Bombyx mori: one gene and its partners. The protein of the gene in region 2 binds, or shares a complex with, the protein of the main gene of each other region. Links are inferred from orthologs where the notes say so. Each region holds a gene or a part of one and is shown on either strand. Other genes may lie near its edges.

Region 1 (3,011 bases), on a different chromosome or scaffold from region 2:
CTTTTTACAAATATCAAATTACAATAATTGTTTTTACCCATGAAAGCAGACAATCATGCTATCGACAAACAGTCTATGGTGGAATGTGGACATTGACAATTCAAGGAGCAAAATCAACATGCTGTCTTTGTCAAAAGGTATTACACTAAAGAACTTAAAGGGCTCCCAGTAGTATAATAATAGTCATAGATAGGACACTCAGCACATAGCACAATAGAATATGTCAACAAAGCCCCAATAATTATTAACATGTTGACTGCCATGTAAATCACCGGTGCCCTACGCGGCACACTGACGTAATAATGACGATTTTTCTCTTTGATCTACATATTAAAGTGCCGGAATATCTAGTAGAGTCTGGAAATGACTAATTCACAGGTACTAAGAATAAATCTATCTTTTAGAAGACCTAAAAGTCTAAAATATACATTAACAAACAAAAGAAGGCAAAGTTAGGTAATCCAGGCGTGTAGTAACAGAAATCAACGTAATTATTTCAGTGCGCCGCTTAGGGCACCAGTGACCTGCATTAAATTTTATATCTGTATGCAATGTATTTTCCCTGACCTCTATCTAAATAACGTAATATTTTTAATAGTTCAATTGTAGCCTGTAAGCACCTACCCATCTGTGCTTACCTGGAATAGGCCTTTAGGCTATCAAAGAATAAGTTCAGAAAAAATCTAGTTTCTTCTACAATTACATATTTAAATGTCATTTTTGTAATGATACAATTTATTTGTCTATGAAGGTTATATGAATTCCATCACTAATTAAAATTACATAGCCATCAAAGCAACAAATTTTTCACATGAATTCATACTCTATGTACAATAAAGATGTTTCATTCTATCACTGAAAGAAGTAGTTAAAATCTCTTCAAGAATTCTTCCGAACAAATTCTGGCTCTTGCATTGACAGCCAATTTCATTTCACTGATTTCTTTATCAATTTCTTCCATAAAGTATATTACAAAATCGACCAATTTATGCTTATACATCTGTTCGGTATGGAAGTTAGTAATCAAAAAGCTGATATGGTACCCATCAACTGGTTTCCTCCTTAATACAATGAAGTTTTCAGCTCTCATCATCATGAACCGCATAAATTTTTTACAAAGAATTTTCTCTATCTCATCCGCCTGCTTGATCATAATACTCACCCTAATTGAATTTATTGAAGACTCTATTAATACTTTTTCATTAGAATTTCTTGAAATAACAACAGGATTGAGTAAAAGTTCTTTGCTTGTTCTAACTTCGACCTCCGGCTTGGTGTATTTCTCGACAACTTGCGATGAAAAGTGTTCTAAGCACATAGCGGCAGTGAGCGTGTGACGCACCGCTGTTAGATACGGTTTTAAAGTTGCAGCCATTGTAGAAAATTAAACTTTCGCAAAGATCACGCCACACCTTAAGTTCCTTTCAATTTTTTAGTCATGAATTATCACCATTGATGACAGATTTGACATAAGCATCATTGTTTGATTCGTTCATTACATAGCCAAAGGTAAGGTAGGCCATACAGTCAAATCCAAGTGTGTTGTTGTGTGAAAATGTACTAAATAAAATTAAATGATTATTAAGGAATTGAATCTGAGGTAAGATAAGGTAAAATTGTAGGTATTGGATGAGAAATAATGAAATAACATCTCAGTAAAGTGGAGAGAATTTACTAAAATCTCTTAAATGCAGGGGGGTGCAACTCCCATACAAAGGAAAATAACATACAACTAGCGTCATCTTACTCCTGTGGCGACGTCATTTTTGTAACTTTTAGGCATTAATGATCTAATAAACTCACTAGATGGCATATATGAGTTCTGACTCAATAAAAAATGTAGCGTACTTTGAAGCAGTGCTTCCACTTTTAGGGAATTCTCCCTTTTTTAGGGAAAAATAGCTGATATTTTGGATGATAAAGACAATTTAAAAAATACCAGGATTTAGGATATTTCGGGGTAAAAAGCAAAGCCTATACTAGTAACTGTTGTGAATTTTAAAATAAACGATAATTAAAGTAAAACAATGAACATTTTATTTTATGGAGAGAGAATGACATTAAGTCGAGTTGACAAGTAAAAGAATAAAACAGAGTTGTGTATAAAAACTATAAAGGTTTGATTCAACAGTAACCTTCTAGTAAAGTAAATCATAGATTAAGCCACTGCTTTTTCTTAGGGATTCCCCAGAATCCCAATAAGTATAATCCGCCAAATTTTTATTTACCTATTTTCGTTGATGTCACCAGAACTTACTTGTATTGTAATATACAGGTACTTCATGTACCATGAAAGATTATCATGGTAATTTCATTTACGAAACCTTGTAATTGTCATTTCACTTTTGCTAGCAGTTCCTTCTTCAAAGACTGAGGTGGAAAGATTATTCAGTGTTCTCAAATTTAAAAACTGACAAAAGAAACAGGCTTTCTAATGAAACCCTGAACGGCTTGCTTCATAGAAAGTTCCCAACTTTGCCAGCAAACAATTGCTCAATTTTAGAACCGAACAGTGTTAGGTTGTGCAGCAAAAGAATATAAAAGCAATGCGTCGACTTCCTTGAAAATTCTAATCCTATAGATCTATGATCTTCTGGGGGCGTTTATATTATATATACCTACATTAAATAATATGCTGTGGTTTATTTTCTGTATTTTATTTACGCTTTCTATATAAAGGATTTATGAAAGTTGTCTAGGAAATTTTAGGGTAAATTCAAAAGAAACTAGGGTAAAATGTGTTAAAAAAAACGTAAGTGGAAACACTGCTTTGAAGTTTTCAAAATTCCAGGGCCGTAAAACAATCTCAAAAAAAAAAAAAGTTTTCAAAATGTCGTAACGATTTAATTTTTTAAATCGTTTTTTTTTGGTCTTGGTGTGAGTTATTTTACGTTGTAGTATTAATTTAGAGCAACTTTTAGCTTTATGAGAATATTAGACGATTAGACATTGAGAAACTCTGTTTTGAATTCTCTTTAGACATAACTTGGCTCCAATACTTTTTTCTTCGT
Region 2 (4,085 bases):
ATACATATAATTAAAAGTAATGCTTACTCGTTTCATAAGCTAATGTATCACCGTGCAAGGCACTGGTGGCTTCCTTTCTTAATTGTTCAATTTGTTCTGTCGATAATGTTTTTGGCAACGTGACTGGTTCTTCAGGTAGCTGAAAAATACAATTCACATTAGTTGAAAACTTAACTGTGAATTGGATAGTCCAACTCAATTCTTAAAGCAAATAAGCTTTGGCATAAACATATTTTCGATCAACTCATACTCTTTAAGATGTGGTACACTAGTCAATTTTTTTAAATCTTTTTTTTTATAGTGTTTAGGTATGAGCATCGTATGAGTATCTCTAACTGGGTTGCCAGTCGCAACCGCCATTCGAGCAGCTGAGGACCGGACGAGATGGAAACAGCTCACGAGACAGGCAACGGTCAAGTTTCAGGGACACGACCTTCAGCAATGAAGAAAGCGACGAAGAAGAAGAAGAATGAGCATCGATTACTAATACGACTGGACGATCGAAATCATAGTAAAGGTTAAATACAATTTTGAATTGATGTGTTAAAGCCTTATTTCCTACGCTTTTTTTTAAATAGGGAAAATAAACATTTAGACTTATGTTCTATATCACAAACCTGATGAAACCATTTCTTTTTTTCACCATATTCAAGGCTTTCGGCGAAATTCTTTGCGATACCCTGGCCTTTCTTATCATCTGCGTTCTTATCAGCTTGACCGTAATTAGTGTAAGCCTCATCAATTAATATATTTTCCTCAAATCTTTTATGCTTCATTGTAAGTTATTGTATCATGTTACGTTAAATATAAATAAGGCACGTGAAAACCTGAAAACAAACGTTTCTCAAAACCATGCCTTTCTTGAAGTATGACATTTGTGTGACATTAGATAAATCATTACTTTGGGCTGTCAAATGTCAGTGTCAGGGCCTAACCACTGAAGTATGGCCTAACGAGTCAGTTTTAACGAGCCAAATAAAGTCACAATGAACATTTTATTTTGCTTCTTAATTAATTAAATATGTTAGTTAATTAATGATTAAATTTGGTTGAAATAGCTAAATTAAAATTCTGACAGTTTTTTTACGGACAACACAATATTTCAATACACATGCTAAAAAGACTAATTACTTCAAGGAGAAGGTGTGTCACACAAGAATTTAATTTTTGCATTCAAAATAAAACTTTATACGAAGTGTCTTTAAAGGTGTATTTTGTACTGCATATAGTTTATGACAACGATTTGTCATTTTTACAGAATTGTGAGATTTGCTTTCCGCTTTGCGGGAGTTGGGGAGTTGTGTAGTGTTCTAAAAAACAAATTACATTATAACTTTTTAATATTAATAAAATAAATTAAAAACTAAATAAAATGGACGACAAAGGACGGAAAGTTATCGTTTGCGACAACGGTACCGGCGTAAGTGAACACAAAATTTGTAGACTATTAGAATTTTTAGATAAGCTCTGAATCACGTACGGTTTTCCTTTCGATGTATTACAGTTTGTGAAATGTGGCTTCGCTGGTAGCAATTTTCCGGCATTTATATTCCCTTCCATGGTCGGCAGGCCGATCATACGCGCTGAAAACAAAATAGGAGATATTGATGTTAAGGTAAGTGGAAGACACTTTTTCTCATTATTAAGTTGACAACAATTTTTTTATTGGCCTATTACGAACAAATGAACGTTAATGTAAAGCACATAGAAACCTGAAGGACAAACTTTTGTAACAAAATTAATAAAATCATTTTACCTCTATAAAAATAGTTACAATACTTAAAAGTTTGTAAGCCTTGTTACAGCAAGGAAGACAAAAAGGAATTTCTGTTCATTATTTATAATATTGATCTGTGTTTTCAGGATATTTGTATTGGTGTAAGTAATATAAATACATCTAGGAATGTTTTATTGTTCTAACGTTAATTTTCTTTCTGATGTGTGATGATGATTAAATGCATTATTAACAATTGAAACAACAGTAGATTCTTTTTTTAAACCAAAACAGAGGTTTCATTTAAAAAATTAGTCTGGATTATAAAATATGGAAAGAAAATTCAGGACAAACTGTCTATCGACAGTCTGTTTGCCTATTCCATTGGAAACTAACTGCATGCTATAGGAACTAAAACAATGAGTGTTAGAAGGCTATTAAAAGATTGAGATATGCTTAAGAATTTTAATAGTCTCTTCGTATACTTAAAGAGTCCAGGAATGGGGTTTTGGGAGGCTTAACGACAAAGAGAAGATCTTCCACCGAGCGGGTGATATTGCTCGGTAGACCGATGGTCCGAATGTTGTTGTTCGGAACTTGTATATATGCACTTTATCTTGAAAATGTTGTAAGCGAGATTCAGGCAACTTGCTTTGTATGATGGTTACCTGCCACAGGGTGATAGTGACATCCATGCAAAGCCAGTATTTACCAGATTAGCAGGTTCTGACTTGGAATAGTGAAAACCAAGCATTATATACTTTGTGGCTTTATAAAGATATGAATGAATAGATATCTCAAGCATGAGGTATCCAATTTGTAATAGACTGTTATCTCCAAATAATGTTATCAAATTCTCAGAAGCGCTGTTTGGAGATGAAAACTAGAGAAAAGGGGACTAACATATATTATGTATTAAGTGTGCTTAAAGTGTCTTGTGAATATCTACCGAACTCTACCCTTAAATACGATAATCTTACATGCTGTTTAGTTTTACTCCAATACAATTAAGTTTTAGAATTGAAATCTTCTTTCAAAGATATACATTGGCAAGAGAGTTATACTGTTCACCTAATATAGAGTTTTTACTGAGTAAGCTAGATATGAGAATGTGGATTCTGGTGTATTCTTAATTTGACAAATGAAGTCAAGTGGATGCTACATATTGGAAGAGTAATAAAGTCAAAATCTCATTGATATAATGGTATTCTTATATTATTGCTGCAGAACCAGGTATAACTGGGGTCTCTCTGATATTGATAATGAATATCTACATAGTGTTAGATTTCTTTAACTTCCATAGTCTCTAAACATCTAAGTGATTGTTTGATTTGAATTAATCTAGATATAATTTTTTTTTCAAAAAATCCTTTTCTAAAATTCATTTATTTGTTGAATTTTTTTAGTATTCATGTTCAAGACTATCTGTCCTATGAATAATTGAAACAAATCTTGTCCCAAAAATTGTAAAAATATGATGTTAAAAATAATTACACTACATTTTGAGATTACTCAAACTCAACTTTTATTACTAAAAACACAACTAAAAATGTTGACAAAACAAGGCATGTTTTCATTTTTAACTCGTGTGTGTCTGTTTGTGAGTGTTTGTCTATGTGTAGATTATAAACTAAAACACTTTCTACTGGTGGTAGGACCACTTATGAGTCCGCATGAGTAGGTACCACCGCCCTGCCTATTTCTGCCGTGAAGCAGTAATGCGTTTCGGTTTGAAGGGTGGGGCAGCCGTTGTAACTATACTGAGACCTTAGAACTTGTATCTCAATGTGGGTGGCGCATCTACGTTGTAGATGTCTATGGGCTCCAGTAAATACTTAACACTAGGTGGGCTGTGAGCTCGTCCACCCATCTAAGCAATAAAAAAAAAACACTGTAGTGTTTGACAATTTCGCCTTCTTCTTGACTTTATACCCTGGTTTGTTATTTACTCTCCTGTTAGTGGGAAATTTGCACTCAAAAATAAATAAGTCAAACACACTTTTTTTTTATTGCTTAGATTGGTGTACAAGCACACGGCCCGGCCCACCTTGTGTTAAGTAGTTACCGGAGCCCATAGACATCTACAACGTAAATGCCGTCACCCACCTTGAGACATGACTTCTAAGGTCTTACTTTTAACAGTACAACGGCTGCCCCGCCTTTCATACCGAAACGCATTACTGCTTCACGGCAGAAATAGGCTGGGTGGTGGTACCTACCCGTGCGAACTCACAAGACGTTCTACCAGTAATTTGCTCATAATTCATTATAATGTTATCGTAAAATGAATCGCAGAATCTATTTAGCTACATCACGGGTAACAGTCATAGATATATGTATTTGAAGAGCAAAGCAAATTTACTGTCTAATC
Region 3 (4,245 bases), on a different chromosome or scaffold from region 2:
CGAAATGTTTAGTCTAGGCACGGAATATTACTTATTATCTGGCTCAGTAAACATATTTAAAACAAAATGCTATACAATAATACTATATTTGGCTCTTTTGGTTGACAAGGTTGCAGATAAAGGTCTAGATGACAAGAATAATACACGGCTCCATAATGTTAAGTAATTATTGGAGCCTATACATTACAACATAAATGCATACAGGAATTTGTACCGTGTACTTGAAGCCTAGAAATCTTGGTAGATCCCAGATATTTTTCAGTAGAAATAGGCATAACAGTTACCAATGTATGGAGACTCAAAACACCTTTTCAGTAATGTGATTCATTCAAATAAATACTTGTAAAAATGTTCTCCTATAAATTTAGATAAAATACATATTTCCTGTTTTTAATGTAATACAAATTAATTTACTTTAAATGCCAGCTAGGCCTTCAAAAACAACTAATGAGTACATATCAAATTAAGGAAAATAAGGTAGAATAAGTCCAAGTGATGTTATATAATCTAAATATAAATAAGGAATTCAGTACCTTTGTCATCTCTGGTTGTCAATCTGTTTTTTTTAATTGGCGATAGACTGAATAATTTACTTATTTATTACACTTCATGTAAAATTTACAATGGGAGACTTAATGCCTAAGGCATTCTCTACCAGACAACCAAAGGTAGTGCCGAGAAAATAGTGGTAGGTGCAACAAAATAATATTAACCTTATCAACATAATTTAGAAATTATCAATTGTTTTTCTCTAAATTTCAATAAACAAAGAAAATAAATATTTAAAAAAACAAAATAACACTGAGGTTTCAGTAATTTTAGTAAAATTTCAACCACAGCATAAACAAAACTGCTAATAGATTATCCAGTTGTGTATAAATATATATTAATAAACAATACTTCCAATACTTCTTCAGCATCAATCTGTAGTGGTAGAATCTTCAGCTAAATTCTTAATTAACTGTCCCCTTATTTAATCTCCCCCATTGAGAGTACTGGTGATATAAAAACCTCTACCCTTACAGGTTAGTATTGCTTTTCATCCCATTGCTGTTGCTATTATGCGTTTCTGTTTCATGGATAGGATACCCATTATTTTAATATAATTTAGATTTAGACTATACCTCAAGGCAGGGCACATCATTCATGTTGTGATAAGTTTGAACTCTTAGTAACTGATACCATCAGATAAACCATAATATCAACGTGTTTCCCGAACTTTATGACATGTCCTCCTTCAAACGAGGCTTGTGGGAGAATTAAGTAGTAGGCAGCAACTTGGCTCTGCCCCTGGCATTGCTGAAGTCCATGGGCAACGGTAACCACTCACCATTAGGTCGGCCGTAAGCTGGTTTGCCTACAAGGGCAATAAAAAATATATATATTCTCCACATCTCTTCCATTATAAGGAAAAAAACAAAATTTAAATATCTTTGTGTAATTACCTGACTCTGGTTCAGTAAGAAGGGGTCCATACACCCTCTTGAGGAGCTCATCTGCTCCATGTTCTTCTAATTGCTTGTAGAACTTCAAAGATATACTAACCTAAAATAATATTTTTGTAATTATGTACATTTTATGAGTCTAAGCTTGAAGGTCTGTTGATATTTAATTTTAAACATAATTCTATTTATTCTTCATAGAATTTTTTTTAGGTTTAGCAACATTTCCTCCAGGTGTTTTTCCAAATTTTTCAAATAACAAACCTATTTTCTCACCTCATTCAGCTACTGATTTTTACATTTTTAATTGCTAGATTTATGTTTTGTGTTTATATGTTTTATTGACATTTTTATTCAAACCAATAACAAAACAATTTTAAACATAAAACTACACATTACTAGTTAATATGACATCATTGTATTGAGTTTCTTTGATTTAACTATCACTTATCAAGTCATACATACCCTAACTTTGGTTTTGTCTCCATTGACATTGGATATATGGAATAATACTCCATCAAAATCAGCTACAGTAACATCTATTGACTCAGGCTTTAAGCTGAAAACAGAAGGGGATAAAAATAAACACTTATTTATTGAATAAATTAGTCATATCCTCTTAGTAGCGACATTTGGTATCAGTTTCGGTGCATTGTTTACGGGCAATATGGTCATTGGAATTCTAAGCCTTTATATGGGATATTTCCGCAGACAAAAATATGTGGCACTTATAAACAACCGATATGACTCATCCAAGTCGTGATAGGCACTAACGCGTCACTGTGACCGTGACACATTAGAATTTAATTCCAATAATACCTGTTCTCTGACACTAAGTGCACAATTCACTTGGTATTTGTACTCCAGCCGTCAACGTGGGACCACCCCCAGTGAATCTTGACACTTGTCAAGTCCTCCCCTGGAGGGGTTATGCCCAGGATACAATCTTTATAGGAGTCATCATCATAATGACTATTAAAATTTAAATAACTACCGTAAACAGTGTACTCGATAAATTGATTCTAATCACGAAAAAAACAGTAACTTTCTAGTGTAACGTACTCACCGCGCCAGTGCATTTTTATATTTAACCGTTAGTGTTTCTTCTATAATTCTATTATTGATCTCGAGTAAGATCATTATTCAACAATTTATAACCTACAGATATTTCATAAAATCAACGCCTAGAGCACCTTCATTTAATTTTTTTAAGTAAGAATTTTTACGATGACCGCCCGTGCGTATAGACAACCAAAAACGACAGAGAAAAGAAACGAAAAAATTTAATGAAATTCGACAAGCAACCATAGAGTGTAAATTGAATATATGAACGAGAGCTTAAAAAGTTCTTAGATTTTAGTGGAAACTAAAATGACAATTATCTACAAAATGAAGACAATATACATACATATAAACAATTTTTAATAAAAAATTCACGATGCAAGCGAAGCTTACATCAGCCTAAATTCTTAGGAATATAATGACATGTCATTGATTTTTTTGAACTCGTAAATTATTGCAGTCCTTTTGTTACTACTTTTTCCTATATTTTATTATTTTTTGATGAATTGTTTGAGAAAAATATTAAACATCATAAAAAAAAGTGTGCTTGTGTGGTAAAAACTTAACCTTTACGTCGGTTATGTCAAAAACCAGAATATGGGTCTTTTTTGTCTTAACTGAAAACTACGCCTAAAAGCAGAGTGAAGTTATCAAGATTCAGCAACATACTTTTTATCTCCTTTAGCCCCATTGAGTTTCTTGCTGGATCTTCTCAGTGTGTGGCACTTCTGATTTAGTGGTAGATTCAGCGAATTACTGCTGCTCGGGCAGCTGGTAACAAACTCCACTCTTCCTGGCTGAGTCCGTACTCACTCAGATCTTTTGGTGAAACTAAAAAGGTAACTGGCCGCAAGTAATCCTTCCTTCTTAAAAAAGAAGTCTATTGAACTCTCAAAAAGAATTATCATTATACTGAGAGGTTGTGGACAGCATTTCATTTCACCTGATTCCTTTCATTTCATTAAGATTTTACATCAAAGAGTATATTTTCCTTTAGCACCATTCGGCTTTTGGTAAAATGTTAATTATTCAAATTACTAATTTTTCCAAGCCCACTGAGTTTCTCGCCGGATCTTCTCAGTGGGTCGCGTTTCCGATCCGGTGGTAGATTCTGCGAAGCACTGCTCTTGCTAGGGTCAGTGCTAGCAACTCTCCGGTTGAGCCCCGCGAGCTCGCCTACAAACGTTAGGGCGAAGCTGAAATAGCCTCTCAAGACTATCAGCATAGGCAAGGTTAAAAAAAAATAAAAAATTATCCAAACACACTACTTGACTTGTATGAGTTATTTTCCCTTTGCCCATTCATTGAACGAATCAAAGAAAAAATATGTATTCTGGCCATATTCTACTGTATTCTACTTATTAACTCCATGATTCTGGCTGCTGTCTTGTCAACTATTTTTCGTTCTTTCGTATCTGTAGGTAGTTATCTCAAATATACTAAGTGTATAATCTATGGATAGGTATATTATCTATGGTCAATAGAACAGACAAGGCTGGGCTTAGATTCCCTTGCCTTTCCTAATAAGGAAAAGTTGTACCAAAAAAATAATCTATGGTCAGTAATACCGTTTGTTTTGGTTTGTTTTCTAACATCGTCACCTGGTGCTTCTTTATTTGGTTCATTTAATTTCTTAGGTTGCTTATTTTAGCAATACTTTGGATAGTGATTGTTGTGTCAGATTTATTTTTGTGACAATTATACCTAATTACAATTTGCTTTAAAAAAATGGAACAAAAAA

The links.
Region 1: the proteins of actin-related protein 2 (region 2) and actin related protein 2/3 complex subunit 4 are in contact, whole or in part, in a cryo-EM structure (PDB 6YW6), measured with the Homo sapiens proteins. The link is inferred for Bombyx mori from reciprocal best matches to the Homo sapiens genes ACTR2 and ARPC4. Residues at the interface, in NP_005713.1 of Homo sapiens: Tyr222, Val223, Tyr225, Gln229, Glu230, Lys232, Leu233, Ala234, Leu235, Glu236, Thr237, Thr238, Val239, Lys253, Thr308, Met309, Tyr310, Pro311, Gly312, Pro314, Ser315, Asp346; in NP_005709.1 of Homo sapiens: Val29, Val30, Glu31, Arg32, His33, Lys35, Pro36, Glu39, Val40, Ala98, Glu99, Asn100, Phe102, Ile103, Leu104, Arg105, Arg106, Lys107, Leu117, Thr119.
Region 3: actin-related protein 2 (region 2) and actin-related protein 2/3 complex subunit 2 share a complex: the UniProt entries of both Homo sapiens proteins name them as parts of the arp2/3 complex. The link is inferred for Bombyx mori from reciprocal best matches to the Homo sapiens genes ACTR2 and ARPC2.

Annotation. Positions count from the first base shown.
Region 1 is NC_085122.1:8,792,780-8,795,790, forward strand, and holds actin related protein 2/3 complex subunit 4, read right to left. Parts: upstream 1,444-3,011; 5' UTR 1,376-1,443; coding exon 869-1,375; 3' UTR 590-868; downstream 1-589. UniProt on the Homo sapiens protein: Actin-binding component of the Arp2/3 complex, a multiprotein complex that mediates actin polymerization upon stimulation by nucleation-promoting factor (NPF).
Region 2 is NC_085130.1:7,235,403-7,239,487, reverse strand, and holds the start of actin-related protein 2, read left to right. Parts: upstream 1-1,192; 5' UTR 1,193-1,372; coding exon 1,373-1,420; intron 1,421-1,504; coding exon 1,505-1,615; intron 1,616-4,085. Other genes in the region: CCAAT/enhancer-binding protein zeta, read right to left, coding at 28-139, 618-776. UniProt on the Homo sapiens protein: ATP-binding component of the Arp2/3 complex, a multiprotein complex that mediates actin polymerization upon stimulation by nucleation-promoting factor (NPF).
Region 3 is NC_085109.1:10,839,374-10,843,618, reverse strand, and holds the start of actin-related protein 2/3 complex subunit 2, read right to left. Parts: upstream 2,901-4,245; 5' UTR 2,583-2,900; coding exon 2,509-2,582; intron 2,002-2,508; coding exon 1,908-2,001; intron 1,546-1,907; coding exon 1,446-1,545; intron 1-1,445. Other genes in the region: ubiA prenyltransferase domain-containing protein 1 homolog, read left to right, coding at 4,233-4,245. UniProt on the Homo sapiens protein: Actin-binding component of the Arp2/3 complex, a multiprotein complex that mediates actin polymerization upon stimulation by nucleation-promoting factor (NPF).